Saccharomyces cerevisiae S288C: one gene and its partners. Changing the gene in region 1 together with any one later gene gives a genetic interaction. Each region holds a gene or a part of one and is shown in the gene's direction. Other genes may lie near its edges.

What was found.
Region 2: mutations in GIC2 (region 1) and DMA1 impair growth when combined (synthetic growth defect), as found in Saccharomyces cerevisiae (one study listed by BioGRID).
Region 3: of GIC2 (region 1) and CYC8, extra expression of one rescues a mutant of the other (dosage rescue), as found in Saccharomyces cerevisiae (one study listed by BioGRID).
Region 4: of GIC2 (region 1) and MSB2, extra expression of one rescues a mutant of the other (dosage rescue), as found in Saccharomyces cerevisiae (2 studies listed by BioGRID).

What each region holds. Positions count from the first base shown.
Region 1 is NC_001136.10:1,078,472-1,082,066, reverse strand, and holds GIC2 (Gic2p), read left to right. Parts: upstream 1-1,867; coding exon 1,868-3,019; downstream 3,020-3,595. Other genes in the region: SUM1 (Sum1p), read left to right, coding at 1-939. UniProt on the Saccharomyces cerevisiae protein: Required for cell size and shape control, bud site selection, bud emergence, actin cytoskeletal organization, mitotic spindle orientation/positioning, and mating projection formation in response to mating pheromone.
Region 2 is NC_001140.6:339,527-343,094, reverse strand, and holds DMA1 (ubiquitin-conjugating protein DMA1), read left to right. Parts: upstream 1-1,735; coding exon 1,736-2,986; downstream 2,987-3,568. Other genes in the region: protein channel TOM71, read right to left, coding at 1-746; COX23 (Cox23p), read right to left, coding at 975-1,430; BZZ1 (Bzz1p), read right to left, coding at 3,111-3,568. UniProt on the Saccharomyces cerevisiae protein: E3 ubiquitin-protein ligase which functions in cell cycle retarding in conjunction with the UBC4 and UBC13/MMS2 complex, 2 E2 ubiquitin conjugating enzymes. Involved in nutritional control of the cell cycle. Targets the G1 cyclin PCL1 for destruction.
Region 3 is NC_001134.8:462,370-467,527, reverse strand, and holds CYC8 (transcription regulator CYC8), read left to right. Parts: upstream 1-1,757; coding exon 1,758-4,658; downstream 4,659-5,158. Other genes in the region: DNA repair protein RAD16, read right to left, coding at 1-280; SUS1 (Sus1p), read right to left, coding at 4,949-5,028, 5,099-5,158. UniProt on the Saccharomyces cerevisiae protein: Acts as a component of the CYC8-TUP1 corepressor complex which is involved in the repression of many genes in a wide variety of physiological processes including heme-regulated and catabolite repressed genes.
Region 4 is NC_001139.9:515,107-521,363, forward strand, and holds MSB2 (Msb2p), read left to right. Parts: upstream 1-1,836; coding exon 1,837-5,757; downstream 5,758-6,257. Other genes in the region: SNU71 (Snu71p), read left to right, coding at 1-1,310; EAT1 (putative hydrolase), read right to left, coding at 5,984-6,257. UniProt on the Saccharomyces cerevisiae protein: Plasma membrane signaling mucin that promotes activation of the MAPK for the filamentous growth pathway. Partially redundant with the SHO1 osmosensing branch for the activation of STE11.

The sequences.
Region 1 (3,595 bases):
GAAGAAGATGAGGGAGAAAGGGGTGTTGGTAATAGCGGAACGCTGGCCACCGTGGAGAATGTCTCAGGAGACATCTCCGCAGATTTATCCAAAGGTACTTCATCTATCCATAACGATACTGAGTCTGCTAACGATAGTAGCAATGGCAACGGAAACCTCGGTTTGGGTACAGAGTCACGCAATACATTGTTAACGGCAACTCCCATTGAATTAATCTGCCGGGAAGGCTTCTTCTACCGGAGAGATATTCCGGACGTTCCCATTACCACAGGAGCGTACCTGGAATTTAAATTCAAGGCGAAAGAAGAGGAATTGATCAACTCTAGCATCAATGAGGAGGATTATGCTGCTAAATCAAAGCATGAAAAAATGAATGCGCATTTCTTCAAGCCTGATATTCAAGAAGAGACGGAACTTGCCTTTGAAATTTTGAGCAAGACAACGCTGACAGAGAAATACGTTAACAGTTTGGAGTACTTCTTGATGGAATTCAGGTGGGAGAATAAACTAGTTGGTCTAGGCTTAAAACTTCGGGAATCCAAAAGAACCTGGCAAAGGAGAAAGGCGTTATTTGCCCTTTTCGAATTTTGGAGAGACCAATCAAGAGACAAAAGAAGATTCCACAACTACACCATCCTGCATGCGGTGAAAGAGATGGAAAACTACAGAATATTTATTAATCGATCCGTTTCATGGTTCTACAACCATATTACCCTGCTAAAAATGATCCTCTACGACCTCTGCGACAATGTGACCACTCAATGGAGAGAGTGGATGTTTCCCCATAACGAAACACTGCCGGCATTGGGTCAGGACGGCATTAACGAAGACAATCTGAATGAAACCATCGACAACATGTTAATTTTTGACTTCCTTGATGACGGTTCAGAAAACAACCAGGTCAAATATTCCAGAATCATACCGCCAGATATCCGTTAAGCTGGTCCGTACGTTGGGGCAGTTTCGAGAATAGATAAAAAAATGAAAAATAAAAAAAAATAAAAAAAACACAAAATAATGGACCGTTACTATGCCCAACCAAGTAACCTCCCAACTTATTTGGAACATTACATATTTAGCGCTTAACATTACATACATATTTAGCGCTTAACATTACATACACCTTTATCGACGAATTTGTAACTATTTCTTACTCTTGCGCTGAGGAACGCCCCAGTCGTACAAAAGCACCTCTGCATACTAAGAAACTTAAACTATCGCCATTGTCTCAAAATAGCAAAAAACGCAAAAAGCATACCGCTGGGCGCTTATCTATATTAACCTACACGAGAAAAGAAACATGATTGACTGCGTCAGATTCAAAAACCTGCAAAGTTTGTTTTTATAATTTTGGCGTTCAGCAAGCGCGCGGCTCCGCTCCATTAATATTCCAGAAAAAGAAATTCCTTCTTTGGGTGTTGTGTATTGCTACTTTGGGCAGGCGCGACCGGGCCAAAAGAATGCGGCACCCGGCAAAGACGCGTTCTGGCCCCTGAAGACTTAAGCACTGGAATGGCTCCGAGGATTGGTCACCCAGAAACAGGTGCAGACCAACCATTTCGAGATCTAGATGTTGCCTATTTCTCGAGGAAACGCTGCCGTTATCGCCATGTTTGGTGGAACAATTGTGAAACGTGATCAATTCGTGTTTGCAAGCTAGTGATCATTCGCATCCGAAAAAGAAACTGAAAATGTAAAACTCCAGTAAAACGAGACCTGTTGATGGATTGTTTCGTGTCTGGTATATATTATTGCTACTGCTCAAGAGAGCTTCTTTTTTTATGCTATCGAACTCGATCTTTCGCTCCGAAACACCTAACACTAACAAAAGGAATACCTGACAGAATACGCTATCAAAAGAACGAATATGACTAGTGCAAGTATTACCAATACTGGAAACGAAACCATGAACCTTCCACAGATGCGGTCGATTTGGCTGGATGAAGATGAAGAAGCTGAAAAACTCTACGGTCTGCAGGCCCAGCAATTCATGGGATCTGATGATGAAGAAAACCTAGGCATTACTTTCATCAACAGCGATAAACCTGTGCTGAGTAACAAGAAAAACATTGAGTTGCCTCCACTTTCACCAAATTCACATCCGTCTTGCCACCACAGGAGAAGTAATTCTAACTCTGCAAAGTCTAAAGAATCATCGTCATCATCGTCCAGCGCCAACAAGACAAATCACAAAAAGGTTTTCCTTAAGCTTAATTTGTTGAAGAAAAAGTTGCTTGGTGCCCAACCGGACATAAGAGGTAAAGGTATCTCCACACCATTTGATTTTCAACATATTTCACATGCTGACACTAGAAATGGATTCCAAGATGAGCAATTGCAGGAACCTTCATCGCTGTCCACAGAGATTAAGGACGACTATACCTCCTCCTCAAGCAAGCGGGATTCGAAATCACTAAATAAAGCTTTTGTCACTGAAAGGATCCCTGCTAATCGTGAAAGCAAACTCATTTCAAGATCGCACGAAAATAAGACATCAAGACTATCAGTCGCGCGTTCGATCTCAGTAACGTCCTCCAATTACTCTAAAAACACACAAGGAAACAATCATTCCATTAATGGGAGAGTCGTATCTACGTCAACTATGGCTACATCTATTTTTGAGTATTCCCCAAACGCATCTCCAAAACAATTTAAAAATAAGTCACACGCTCTGGGTCATAGATACACTAATTCCACGGATTCTAGTGAGTCTTCGCTGGATTTTTTGAAGAACTACAACTTCCCCACACTACTTGAAGATAAGCCTATTTTAGACTTCTTGCCTCGTTCTCAGAGGTCAAGCGCTTATCGTAGCCTTTTAGAGACCCCAAACTCAAATAAGGACTCAGCAAAAGCCTTCTTTCCTTCACGCCAAAGCCCTCTTCCCAAGAGAAGAAACTCTATAGCTACGCCTTCTCCACAATCTAAATTTTCCTACTCTGACTCCCCTGTAAACCATAGAAAATCTTTCGATGATGTTCTTTATTCTTTCAACCAGCTCGAGCCCCTGCAAACTTAAGCTAAGGACAGAAAATGAAAAAAAAAAAAAAAAAAAATTCAAAGAATCAGCTTATAAAACATATTCAAGGACCATCTGAAGTATCATTCATTCGTTTTTTACTCGTTAATCTCATTCATTCGTTTCCTCATTCTTTTTTCTTTGTTCTTTATTTCGGCTATTTTTTCACTATTAAAATAACTAGAGCTAACAATATTATTTCTTCTGCTTTAGTTACAAAACAAGGACATTCATTTAACTTGGCGTTATCCCATACATTCGTTTATTATATCTTCTTTTAAAACACAATTTCTTTTACAGTTAAACTTTTCTGATTTATTATATATTACTTAAGATTGTTCATATAACTAACATTTATATGCTTATATGCGTGAAGTGCGCTTTTGTAGAACATGTGGCTGTTTCTGTAGAAGCCTTGTCTTTCTCTGTAATCCTTTAAAGGCCAACCGTACGTGCTTAATTACAAGCTTTGTTCGCATTGCAAGAAAGTTAGAAAAAAAATCAATTCTGAAAGATAATTATAATTCAAACGGTAAACCATTGGTTAAAAGAGGGACATAACATTTCACTAGTTCA
Region 2 (3,568 bases), on another chromosome or scaffold:
TTTAGTACTTTCATTGCTTGCTTATTTAAATTTCTTTCCAGCATAGGTTCAATGGAGGCTCCATCAAAGTCACCATTCAATGACAAAACAGATAGATCAAACATAGCATCAGTGAAGTTGCCCAGTGACTCGTTGGCAGATGCACGTCTCAGCAAGGCTTTAGAATGGTCAGGTTTTATCTCAAGTGCCTTTGTAGTGAACTCTATAACCTTCTCTAAGTCGCCCGTAGAAATGTAACAAGCAGATATGTTGGAATAGAACACTGGTTCATTCGGGTCCAGCTCAATGGCATACTGGTAGTATTTGATGGCCTCATTAAAATTCTTAGCAGTGAAGAAGTGGTTACCTCTGTTCTTCAGTTGCACGGCATACGCTTGTCTCTGGGAGGGTGATAGGCCTTTCAATTGGGCAATATCAGGCTCGCCATTGGGCAAGGAGGGATAGTCAAACCCTTCTCCCGATTTTGCCTTATTGTTCCTCTTGCGTTTATTCTTCTTCTTCTTCCTCTTATTACTTCCACTTACGACGCTGCCGTCGTCCTTTAAGTCCGCCTCGTCTTCATTTTGACCAGCAAAGGCCTCACTTTGACGTCGGTTGTCTTTTGTACCCTTCAATTGCTGCTGTTGCTGCTGCTTAATTTGCTGGTAGTAAACATAAGCACCCACAGCAGCAGTCCCCGCAGAGACCGTTGCTAGGATGGCCACTTTGTTCTTGGTGATAAACCTCAGGAGGGAGTTTTCGGCCATAAGAGCTTCTTATGTTCGGTATATACAAGTATGTAGAGATATATACAAAAAATTCTTTATTCGCACTTTGAAAATCCAATTTAGCTTGCTTATTTACATACCATTGCGAATTAGTTTTTCACATTGCACTAGAGTGTGCTGTGGCTGCCTGTCGGAACACTACGTCGCGTAGTGGCGATCTATATAGAAAACAGATCACAGCTGAACAAACAAGAAGAAAAGGCTGCCTCATTCCCACTGCTGTCTGTTTTTCCTCCTGGCTGTCAGCCATTGTTTCTTGCATTCGCGGTATGCGTCAAAATATTCTTGGCACTTGGATCGGTCGTAATCGTTGCGCTCGAGGCACTGAAAACTGAGCTTGGAGGACTCCTCACAAGGATCATAGTACTGACTGTCAGCCTTTAACGCGAATTTATACTTATTGACCGGGTTCTCCGGGTCGTCTGGGTAGTATTGAAATGACGACGGATCGTCGCTCTTTGGTACATAGTTGACTTTGGTTCTGTCCGTTACGGGTCCACTGGCCGCTGGTGGCGTGGAAGACGAAGATGGTTGTGAATTGTTGCTGCTTGTAGAGCCACTGTTGGTATTTGTGGTATCCCTATTATCGTTGGTCATGGTCATACCGTTGGAGATAGTGGAGAGACTACTAGTTTGCCGCCTGGTGGGGCTGGGCTTCTCCATTCTCTTTAAGCGCTCTCGTGAGAGAATATCACTGTTTACGGCCCACAAAGAGAATGAGAAAATTGATAAACCTTAGCATTGGGATCAGCAGGAGCCTTAGAATTCTGGGTGTGAACAGAAACACATTAGTGCATTAGTGTATAGGTTCGATATTATTCAAAGAGGAACTCGGTGTACGGCTCAACTGTAAACCGTACTTCTCGTTCTTTGTTCACTGCCCTGTTTCTGACTCTTGTGCCGTGAGCTTTTCTTCTTACAGTGTCGATTTCCTGTGCACATACGTTCTGTATAGTGGTTATTCCTGGATGTCTACTAATACTGTTCCCTCATCTCCCCCAAACCAGACGCCACCTGCTGCTTCTGGCATCGCTACCTCTCACGATCACACCAAGTTCAACAATCCCATCAGACTACCGATATCCATCTCTCTCACCATTAACGATACGCCTAACAATAACAGCAATAATAATAGCGTTAGCAATGGTTTAGGTATTTTGCCCTCGCGTACGGCTACTTCTTTAGTCGTTGCAAATAACGGTAGCGCAAACGGCAATGTTGGTGCTACTGCTGCTGCTGCTGCCACTGTGGAGACGAATACAGCCCCCGCGGTGAACACTACAAAGAGTATCCGCCATTTCATATATCCTCCAAACCAAGTCAATCAGACGGAGTTTTCACTTGATATACATCTCCCACCAAATACCTCGCTACCGGAACGGATAGACCAATCTACTTTGAAACGCAGAATGGACAAGCACGGGCTTTTCAGCATTAGGCTAACCCCGTTTATAGATACTTCATCCACGTCTGTGGCTAACCAGGGTCTTTTCTTTGACCCCATTATCAGGACTGCGGGCGCAGGCTCGCAAATTATCATCGGAAGATACACCGAAAGAGTAAGAGAGGCAATTTCCAAAATTCCAGATCAGTATCATCCCGTAGTGTTCAAATCAAAAGTGATATCCAGGACCCATGGGTGTTTCAAAGTTGATGACCAAGGAAACTGGTTTTTGAAAGATGTCAAGTCTTCCAGTGGGACCTTTTTGAACCACCAGCGTCTATCTTCTGCGTCTACCACTTCTAAGGACTACCTTTTACATGACGGAGATATCATACAGCTGGGTATGGACTTTCGCGGCGGGACGGAAGAGATATATCGTTGTGTTAAGATGAAAATAGAATTGAACAAGTCTTGGAAATTAAAGGCCAATGCATTTAATAAAGAAGCCTTGAGCCGAATAAAAAATCTACAGAAACTAACTACTGGTTTAGAACAAGAAGACTGTTCCATTTGTCTAAACAAAATAAAACCTTGCCAAGCCATTTTTATATCACCATGTGCCCATAGTTGGCATTTTCATTGTGTAAGAAGATTGGTTATTATGAATTATCCTCAATTCATGTGTCCGAACTGTAGGACAAACTGTGATTTGGAGACTACCTTGGAATCCGAATCTGAATCCGAATTCGAAAACGAGGACGAAGATGAGCCAGACATTGAAATGGATATAGACATGGAAATAAATAACAATTTAGGTGTTCGCCTAGTAGATTGATCACATGAAATTTTGTGCTATATATATATATATATATATATATATATATAACATAGAGTCGTCATACCTCTCAAAAAAGTGGCGGCCAGGGAAAATATTTAATAGTTTCAGTTCATTCCTTCGTTCATTTACAGTAACTTGTAGGAAATAGACCTTTCAATCCGTCACATTCACCATATGTCCACCCGCTACCGTCATCGCCTCTGATAACAGTAATTATGTCCCCCGGATCAATTGAAATCTCATCATCTCCCTGTGCTTCGTAGGCATATATGGCCTCCATCGTCCTAACAGGTAGTGTACTCCTTCTTGGTGGTGGTACTTCTGGTGCAGGGCCTCTATCATTTGCTTTAACTGTAGCCGCGCTAGATATGCGAATATATGTGGTGGGTACAAGGCCGGTTTCCCCAGTGGTGTCGTTATTTATCTTAGTCCATCCAGAACCCGTATCGCGTGCAACCAAAGAGATTTTGTCTCCTGGCGTAATGGTGATTTCGTCATCATCCTTTTGTACGTATGCATACAACACTTTATTCTTGCCGTCATCACTGGAATTTTGTGTGGTCTTTTTTGTATTGTTGG
Region 3 (5,158 bases), on another chromosome or scaffold:
TCTTGATCGCATGAGTATTCTCATCGGTGGCGGTCCGCTCTTTATCTGAACCTGTTAGGTCTATGATAAAATCTTTGTCATCGTCGTCGGGTGATTTCACGAGCGTAGCATCATCACGGTATTCTTCATCTTGGCTGTCATTTACGTTTTCGCTGTTCCCTTTCAGCTGCAGAGTTTTTGAGTTTTTCACAGCTGTATCGTCATCGCTTAGTTCATTATAATTAACACTTTTTTTCGTACTTCTCGTACGCCTTCTACGGATAAAGCCCCCTTCTTGCATGATTTTTCAGTTGGTACACCAGTTATACGGCCAAGAGTATCTAAAATTACCAAAACTACTAAGGTTTGAAAACACCACGCAGCATTACGTCGTTATACTGTCGGTTTTATTAGTCCTTAAGGTCCTATCTGTGCATTTTTTTTATAGCGTTAATCCGAAACTTGAAAAAAAAAAGAAAAGGGAAATGAAAAGGGAAGAAAAAGAAACGGAGGCGCAGGAGGAAGGAGGGGGGAAAAATAGAAGCAACGCAGAAGTCCCCACTGTTTCCCTGGCAACCATGGCGGGAAAAGGGTAACAGATTTTTTCGAGGAGTAACACATTTTGTGCTGTGTGGGTTGGTAGTTTTGGCGGCTAAAAATCAAAGGGAAGAGGGGATGTACTACTTTCAAACCTTCTCACTTTTTGTTGATTTTGAGTGCTGTAAGGATTGTGGTTTAGGCATTTTGACAAGCTCCTTAAAATCTAAGCGTCGGAACAACTGACGAACTTTAAAACCATAAACTCAAAAACCGGTCAACATGAAACCGTTACGGTTTCTCGGTATCCTATGCTTTAAGCTAATGAAACATCCACATAACGAAGATAAAAACTAAAGCACATCCGATCTGAGTTTTGAGCTGGGCGGCAAAAACAAAACTGTCAGTGGCTGGCTGATACAGGGCACGTGAGAGGTCACTGAGGACGAAGGGTGCGGCTCACCCGGATTGGCTGAGTCACCTTCATCGCGTCCACGTCACTCCTCGTTCGCTTTTTTTTTCCCTTTTCTTCTTTTGTGCACCACTCAGGGCACGAGAAAAGCTTATTTTTTTCGTGCACACTCCGTTCTTAGTGGTTGTTCCACATCTTTTTTGTGCTTGTGCGTTTGCCAATGCTAAAATGGAAATTGCCTTATAACGTGGGCCATGTCATGCCGTGTCCTCTCGTTTCGTAAAACTTACCACACGTACCGGACTGTTCCGTCCTGTCTCGTATCGCACGGGTGCCGTATCGGCTCTAATTATTTTATCTCTCTATTTTCTTTCTTTTCTCTGCGCTACTCCTTTCTCGATCGTTGCTACTCCCGTCGCTAGCCACTGGTCTCCCGCGTACTGTACTCCATCTTTTTTTGGCGTTTTTCCCCTATCCAACTCGAACAAGGTTTGTTTAAATTTATTTTATTTTTCTTTTCTTCGGTCGGTCGTTCTTTTCCCTTCCGATTATCAAAGCAAAAGCGCATTTTTTTCTTTGTCTTTTTGTTTTTTGTTTCCTGTTCTCTGTTTTTTTACAAACCACGTCAGGAGTTCAATTGAGAGAACTAGAATCAACAAAGCCAAATACGACAACGTCACTAGTCTTTGAACCAGAGGCGTATTCCCGTTACCTCTTTTCCCATATTTCTGTTTTTCTTTTTCACTGCTATAAGCCTTTAGACTAGTACTACAACTACAACAGCAACAACAACAAACAAAACACGACTGGAAAAAAAAAATTAGGAAAAATGAATCCGGGCGGTGAACAAACAATAATGGAACAACCCGCTCAACAGCAACAACAACAGCAACAACAACAGCAGCAACAGCAACAGCAGGCAGCAGTTCCTCAGCAGCCACTCGACCCATTAACACAATCAACTGCGGAAACTTGGCTCTCCATTGCTTCTTTGGCAGAAACCCTTGGTGATGGCGACAGGGCCGCAATGGCATATGACGCCACTTTACAGTTCAATCCCTCATCTGCAAAGGCTTTAACATCTTTGGCTCACTTGTACCGTTCCAGAGACATGTTCCAAAGAGCTGCAGAATTATATGAAAGAGCACTTTTGGTAAATCCCGAACTATCAGATGTGTGGGCTACTTTAGGTCATTGTTATCTGATGCTGGATGATCTGCAAAGAGCTTACAATGCCTATCAACAGGCTCTCTACCACCTCAGTAATCCCAACGTACCGAAATTATGGCATGGAATCGGCATTCTTTATGACAGATATGGTTCGCTCGACTATGCCGAAGAAGCTTTTGCCAAAGTTTTGGAATTGGACCCTCATTTTGAAAAGGCAAACGAAATTTACTTCAGACTAGGTATTATTTATAAACATCAGGGTAAATGGTCTCAAGCTTTGGAATGCTTCAGATACATTCTCCCTCAACCTCCTGCTCCCTTGCAGGAGTGGGACATATGGTTTCAGTTGGGTAGTGTTTTGGAGAGTATGGGAGAGTGGCAAGGTGCGAAGGAAGCCTACGAGCATGTCTTGGCTCAAAATCAACATCATGCCAAAGTATTACAACAATTAGGTTGTCTTTACGGTATGAGTAACGTACAATTTTATGACCCTCAAAAGGCATTGGATTATCTTCTAAAGTCGTTAGAAGCAGATCCCTCCGATGCCACTACATGGTACCATCTCGGTAGAGTGCATATGATTAGAACAGATTATACTGCCGCATATGATGCTTTCCAACAAGCTGTTAATAGAGATTCAAGAAACCCTATCTTTTGGTGCTCAATCGGTGTTTTATATTACCAAATTTCTCAATACAGAGACGCCTTAGACGCGTACACAAGAGCCATAAGATTAAATCCTTATATTAGTGAAGTTTGGTACGATCTAGGTACTCTTTACGAAACTTGTAACAACCAATTATCTGACGCCCTTGATGCGTATAAGCAAGCTGCAAGACTGGACGTAAATAATGTTCACATAAGAGAAAGATTAGAAGCTTTAACAAAGCAGTTAGAAAACCCAGGCAATATAAACAAATCGAACGGTGCGCCAACGAATGCCTCTCCTGCCCCACCTCCTGTGATTTTACAACCTACCTTACAACCTAATGATCAAGGAAATCCTTTGAACACTAGAATTTCAGCCCAATCTGCCAATGCTACTGCTTCAATGGTACAACAACAGCATCCTGCTCAACAAACGCCTATTAACTCTTCTGCAACAATGTACAGTAATGGAGCTTCCCCTCAATTACAAGCTCAAGCTCAAGCTCAAGCTCAAGCACAAGCTCAAGCACAAGCACAAGCTCAAGCACAAGCACAAGCACAAGCGCAAGCACAAGCACAAGCACAGGCGCAAGCACAGGCACAAGCACAAGCACAAGCACATGCACAAGCGCAAGCACAAGCACAAGCACAGGCACAAGCACAAGCACAGGCGCAGGCACAACAACAACAACAACAACAGCAACAACAACAACAACAACAACAACAACAACAACAACAACAACAACAACAACAACAACAACAGCAGCAGCAATTACAGCCCCTACCAAGACAACAGCTGCAGCAAAAGGGAGTTTCTGTGCAAATGTTAAATCCTCAACAAGGGCAACCATATATCACACAGCCAACAGTCATACAAGCTCACCAACTGCAACCATTTTCTACACAAGCTATGGAACATCCGCAAAGCTCTCAACTGCCACCTCAACAGCAACAACTACAATCTGTTCAACATCCACAACAACTTCAAGGCCAGCCTCAAGCCCAAGCTCCCCAACCTTTAATCCAGCATAACGTGGAACAGAACGTTTTACCTCAAAAGAGATACATGGAAGGTGCAATCCACACTTTAGTAGATGCCGCCGTATCCAGTAGCACCCACACAGAGAATAACACAAAGTCTCCTCGTCAACCAACCCATGCCATTCCAACGCAAGCTCCCGCAACAGGAATAACGAACGCTGAACCACAGGTAAAGAAGCAAAAGTTGAACTCTCCAAATTCAAACATCAACAAATTAGTAAATACTGCTACTTCCATTGAAGAAAATGCAAAATCTGAGGTGAGCAACCAATCGCCAGCAGTAGTGGAGTCTAATACCAATAATACTTCACAAGAAGAAAAACCTGTAAAAGCAAACTCAATACCTTCAGTAATTGGCGCACAGGAACCTCCACAGGAAGCTAGTCCTGCTGAAGAAGCTACCAAAGCAGCTTCTGTTTCTCCTTCTACAAAACCGCTTAATACGGAACCAGAGTCATCTAGTGTCCAACCAACTGTATCATCAGAAAGTTCAACAACAAAAGCAAATGACCAAAGCACTGCTGAGACCATAGAACTTTCTACTGCTACTGTTCCTGCAGAAGCAAGCCCTGTAGAAGACGAAGTAAGACAGCATTCTAAAGAGGAAAACGGCACAACTGAAGCATCTGCACCTTCTACTGAAGAGGCGGAGCCAGCAGCTTCCAGAGATGCTGAAAAACAACAAGATGAAACCGCTGCTACAACGATAACTGTAATCAAACCTACTTTGGAAACAATGGAAACAGTGAAAGAGGAGGCCAAAATGCGTGAGGAAGAGCAAACATCTCAAGAAAAATCCCCACAGGAGAACACACTTCCAAGAGAAAATGTAGTAAGGCAAGTGGAAGAAGATGAAAACTACGACGACTAAAAAGTTTGCATTCAAAAAATTAATCTACTAATTTATAATCAACGAGAAATGTTGTGTAGCTCACAATTCATTCATTATGTTGTGGATACATATATAAATAAAGAAAAGGCTAAAAAAAAAGGTGGGTAACGTGAATTAGGTTATTTTTCATATATGCACATGTAAATATATGCGTATATAAATATATTATTATTTGTATCATTACATACTTAAAATCTATTATTGCTTAAAAGGTTTTCCCGATGAGCATATGTAATAATATTGGGAATTAAGGTGCATTTTCGTATCCTTCATTGTGTATCTACAATCTCTTCAAGAAATTCCCTTATTTGCTTTAAAACGGTTTCCCTTGTTGAATCCGATACCATTTCTAGAAAAAAAAATTCCACTGTTAGTAACGTTCTCTTTTCAATAAATTTAGTGATAAAATATTCACATACCTAATGCTTTGGGTTCTACGGTGGATAAAATTTGGGTAAAGTTCGTAGATTCATTTATGT
Region 4 (6,257 bases), on another chromosome or scaffold:
CGCTGAACTACTGCAAAGCCTTATTCGCGTTTATTAGAAAGCTACATGAGGATTTCAAGATTGAGTTACACTTGGATTTGAACACAAAAGAATATGTCGAAGACCGAACAGGAACTATACCGAGTGTTAAGCCAGAAAAGGCTAGCGAATTTTATTCTGTTTTCAAAAACATTGAAGATCAAACAGACGAAAGAAATTCAAAGAAAGAACAGTTGGATGACTCTTCCACACAATACAAAGTGGATACAAACACTTTAAGTGATTTGCCATCGGATGCTTTGGACCAATTGTGCAAGGATATAATAGAATTTAGGACAAAAGTTGTCAGTATAGAGAAAGAAAAAAAAATGAAAAGTACGTACGAGGAAAGTAGGCGTCAAAGACACCAAATGCAAAAAGTTTTTGATCAAATAAGGAAAAACCACTCAGGAGCCAAAGGGAGCGCCAATACAGAGGAGGAGGATACTAATATGGAAGATGAAGATGAGGAGGATGACACTGAAGACGACCTTGCCTTAGAGAAGAGAAAAGAAGAAAGAGACCTGGAAGAATCAAATCGTAGATATGAGGATATGTTACACCAATTACATTCCAATACAGAGCCTAAGATAAAATCCATTAGGGCTGATATCATGAGTGCTGAAAACTATGAGGAACATTTGGAGAAAAATCGCTCATTATATTTGAAGGAGCTATTACACCTTGCCAACGACGTTCATTACGACCACCATAGATCTTTCAAGGAGCAAGAGGAAAGAAGGGACGAAGAGGATAGAGCTAAAAATGGAAATGCAAAGGAACTGGCGCCTATACAACTATCGGATGGTAAGGCCATATCTGCAGGGAAGGCTGCCGCCATCACCCTTCCTGAAGGCACTGTGAAGAGCGAGAACTATAACGCGGACAAGAATGTGTCTGAGAGCTCAGAACACGTCAAGATCAAATTCGACTTTAAGAAGGCTATTGATCACTCAGTTGAAAGCTCTAGCGAAGACGAGGGATACAGAGAGAGCGAGCTACCTCCAACAAAACCCTCCGAGAGAAGCGCGGCAGAGGACCGTTTGCCATTTACAGCAGATGAACTGAACATAAGACTAACTAATCTGAAGGAATCGCGCTACGTGGACGAACTGGTGCGTGAATTCCTCGGCGTCTACGAGGACGAGCTGGTGGAATACATTCTTGAGAACATCCGCGTGAACCAGAGCAAACAGGCCCTTTTAAATGAGCTAAGGGAGACTTTCGACGAGGACGGGGAAACGATAGCTGATAGACTGTGGAGTCGTAAAGAATTTCGCTTGGGGACCTGAAACAGAAGGGCCTTGGCGCGCGTCCCAAAAGGGAAAGGCTCGCTCTGAAACAGGCGAAGACACGAAAACAAATTACCGTTTCGGGGCGTTTTGCAGCAAGTGGCTAGACACGTCGGGCGTTGCCAGATCAAAATAGCACCAGTGGGTGTTTTTTTACTATCTCATCTTCGTGCTGATATATATAACTTTTATACATTTCCATAGTACCAAGTTCTTTATTTCCTGCATTTTTACATTTATAATAGATTACCAAAACTATTCGACCTCACCAAGGGACCCCATAATATTGCTAAAATAATCTTACCTGTTTTTTACCATTTTTTTCTTTTTTTCCAGAAGTAATAAGCTCTCTCTTAGAAGAACTAAAAGCATCTGACTTCGGCTCGTTCCAACCGACCAAAATATTTGTGAAAATATTATTCATTCCTTTAACGACTTATTGTGTATTCTGTTCATCTCTAGCTGGCTTCCACCTCGTTTCCTATTTTTATTGACTTTTCATTAGGCTTCCTAATTATACCCATCTATGCAGTTTCCATTCGCTTGTCTCCTATCGACCCTTGTAATTAGTGGGTCATTGGCCCGGGCCAGCCCCTTCGACTTTATATTCGGCAATGGAACGCAACAAGCTCAGAGCCAAAGCGAGAGTCAAGGTCAAGTTTCTTTCACCAATGAAGCTTCTCAGGATAGTTCCACCACCTCTTTGGTAACAGCCTATTCTCAAGGTGTTCATTCGCACCAGTCTGCAACAATAGTGAGTGCCACAATCTCTTCCCTCCCATCTACTTGGTATGATGCGAGCTCCACTTCCCAGACTTCTGTGTCATATGCCAGTCAAGAATCCGACTATGCCGTTAATCAAAACTCTTGGAGCGCGTCTACTAATCAACTGCCATCTACCAGTACGACAAGCTACTATGCGCCAACCTTCAGTACATCGGCCGATTTTGCTGCTTCTAGTGTAAATGCAGCTTCTGATGTCTCCACTGCCAGTGTTCCCATTGATACGAGTGCTAATTCTATCCCTTTCACAACTACAAGTAACATAGAGACTACAACGAGTGCACCTCTCACTTCGGACACTCCACTTATTTCCACTAGTACGATGTCCGCAGCTGATAACGTATTTTCGTCAGCAAACCCTATTTCTGCCTCCCTAACAACCACCGATAGTTCAGAAAGTTTTGACCAAACTTCGACTGCTGGTGCCATTCCGGTGCAAAGTTCAGCAGATTTTAGTAGTTCTAGTGAAATTTTAGTACAAAGTTCGGCGGATTTCAGTAGCCCTAGTTCTCCAACTACTACCGATATATCGCTATCAGCTGCCCCACTGCAAACAAGTGAATCAAGCAGTTTTACCACTGCATCAGCAGCTCTACCAGTAAGTTCAACAGACGTTGATGGCTCAAGCGCCTCACCTGTAGTGAGCATGAGCGCCGCAGGACAAATAGCTAGCTCAAGCAGCACAGATAATCCAACTATGTCAGAAACCTTTTCGTTAACATCTACAGAAGTTGATGGTTCCGATGTTTCATCAACAGTGAGCGCATTATTATCGGCTCCTTTTTTACAAACAAGTACTTCCAACAGTTTCAGCATTGTTAGCCCATCGGTATCTTTTGTTCCATCACAGAGTTCCTCAGACGTTGCTAGCTCCAGTACTGCAAATGTAGTTAGTTCATCCTTTTCTGATATTCCACCGCAAACTAGTACCTCAGGGAGCGTAGTTTCGGTAGCGCAATCCGCATCTGCCCTCGCATTTCAAAGTTCAACAGAGGTATATGGTGCCAGTGCCTCGAGCACAATGAGTTCATTATTATCAACTACTTCGCTACAGTCTACTACTTTGGATAGCTCAAGTTTAGCTAGCTCCTCTGCGTCGAGTTCAGACCTTACAGATTATGGCGTCTCCAGTACAGCAAGCATACCGCTGTTGTCAGCCTCAGAACAAGCAAGTACTTCCAGCAGTTTTAGCGTTGTTAGCCCTTCGGTATCTTTTGTTCCATCACAAAGTTCCTCAGATGTTGCTAGCACCAGTGCTCCAAGTGTAGTTAGTTCATCCTTTTCTTATACTTCACTGCAAGCAGGTGGCTCTAGCATGACCAATCCCTCTTCATCAACTATAGTATATTCAAGTAGTACTGGCAGTTCTGAGGAATCCGCTGCATCTACAGCTTCTGCAACACTGTCGGGCTCCTCGTCTACTTATATGGCAGGAAATTTGCAATCACAGCCTCCATCCACTTCAAGTTTGCTTTCGGAGTCTCAAGCTACAAGCACTTCAGCTGTGCTAGCTAGCAGTTCTGTTTCTACAACTTCACCCTATACCACTGCAGGTGGTGCATCTACAGAGGCCTCATCCCTCATATCATCTACATCTGCGGAAACTTCCCAGGTAAGTTATTCACAAAGCACAACTGCATTGCAAACTTCCTCATTCGCATCGTCTTCAACAACAGAAGGAAGTGAAACATCTAGTCAAGGTTTTTCTACCAGCTCTGTTTTAGTTCAAATGCCTTCTTCGATTTCCAGCGAATTCTCACCCTCTCAGACGACAACTCAAATGAATTCTGCAAGCTCATCATCTCAGTACACTATATCATCCACTGGTATACTTTCTCAGGTTTCAGACACATCGGTGTCTTATACAACTTCAAGTTCGTCTGTTTCTCAAGTTTCAGACACACCAGTTTCTTATACAACTTCAAGTTCGTCTGTTTCTCAAGTTTCAGACACACCGGTTTCTTATACAACTTCAAGTTCGTCTGTTTCTCAAGTTTCAGACACACCAGTTTCTTATACAACTTCAAGTTCATCTGTTTCTCAAGTTTCAGACACACCGGTTTCTTATACAACTTCAAGTTCGTCCGTTTCTCAAGTTTCAGACACGTCAGTACCTTCTACAAGTTCCAGATCGTCCGTTTCTCAAGTCTCAGACACTCCGGTGCCTTCTACAAGTTCAAGGTCGTCCGTTTCTCAAACATCTAGCTCACTACAGCCCACCACTACATCCTCCCAACGTTTCACCATTTCCACTCATGGAGCGCTTTCTGAAAGTAGTTCTGTTAGCCAACAAGCTTCTGAGATTACTAGCTCAATCAATGCAACAGCTTCCGAATACCATAGCATCCAGACAACCGCGGCTACTCAATCCACAACTCTATCTTTTACCGACGCAAACAGCAGTTCTGCTTCCGCTCCATTGGAAGTGGCAACGTCTACGCCAACCCCATCTTCAAAGGCATCCTCTCTGTTGCTTACACCATCAACATCCTCTTTAAGTCAGGTTGCTACAAATACTAATGTACAGACGAGTTTAACAACGGAATCGACGACCGTTTTAGAACCATCAACGACTAACAGTTCCAGTACGTTTAGTCTGGTCACTTCAAGTGACAACAATTGGTGGATTCCAACTGAGTTAATCACGCAGGCACCAGAAGCTGCATCCACTGCATCTTCTACCGTTGGAGGAACACAAACTATGACTTTGCCCCATGCAATTGCAGCCGCGACACAAGTTCCCGAGCCTGAGGGCTACACCCTAATCACAATAGGGTTCAAAAAAGCTTTGAACTACGAATTTGTTGTATCAGAACCAAAATCATCGGCTCAAATCTTCGGATACTTGCCTGAAGCTCTGAACACACCTTTTAAGAACGTATTCACAAACATTACGGTACTACAAATAGTGCCATTACAGGATGACTCACTCAACTACTTAGTAAGTGTTGCTGAAGTATACTTTCCAACTGCAGAAATAGAGGAGCTGTCAAATCTAATTACCAACTCTTCAAGCGCTTTTTACACGGATGGAATGGGTACAGCAAAATCTATGGCTGCAATGGTTGATTCCTCAATACCGCTAACGGGCCTCTTACACGATAGTAACAGCAACTCTGGCGGATCTTCGGACGGATCCTCCTCCAGTAATTCGAACTCAGGATCTTCAGGTTCAGGATCTAATTCGAACTCCGGTGTGTCTTCATCTTCCGGAAATTCCTATCAAGATGCCGGTACTTTGGAATATTCATCCAAATCTAACTCCAACGTATCCACTTCTAGCAAATCAAAGAAAAAAATCATTGGTTTAGTTATCGGCGTTGTTGTTGGTGGATGCTTATATATTTTATTCATGATTTTTGCTTTCAAGTATATCATAAGAAGGCGGATTCAAAGTCAAGAAATTATCAAGAACCCAGAAATTTCCAGTATCAGTTCAAGTGAATTTGGTGGAGAGAAAAATTACAATAATGAAAAGAGAATGAGCGTTCAAGAATCCATAACACAATCTATGCGAATTCAAAATTGGATGGATGATAGTTACTATGGTCACGGGTTGACAAATAATGACTCAACTCCAACCAGGCACAATACATCGAGTTCCATACCAAAAATTTCAAGACCAATTGCTAGCCAAAACTCCCTGGGTTGGAACGAAGTTTGATAGCAATGTCTGCAGAGACTTTCTCCGCTTGCATAACCTTATAAACTTATAACGATACCTACTTATTTCATATCTTATGTATAGTTCTCCTTCAAGGAGACGTTGTTTTAATACTTTTATCTATTCCATTTATCATTATCTACTTTGTAATCAAAGATCGAAGCACTGCTGTGTGCGTTGATTTGGGCCTGACACGAGAAGAAAGTGCGTTACGTACATCAAGATTTTATTCAAAATCCAGCGTCTCCTCCGCAAAAAAGTTCAGAATACATTTGAATGAGTCCTCTGGATTCTCCAACAGTAAATTATGCCCAGTATTAAATTCTCGGACATCAGCACAGGGAAAGTTATACCTCAGGAGGGAATAATCATTGTTAATAAAGTTAGACTGCAGGCCTTTCATGAATAAAACTTTACGACTGGCTGTGCCTTTTTGGAAGAAGTCCCTTTGGTTCGATAGATCCGGCCATTTTTTCACTTCATCCAACAGGTTCGGCATG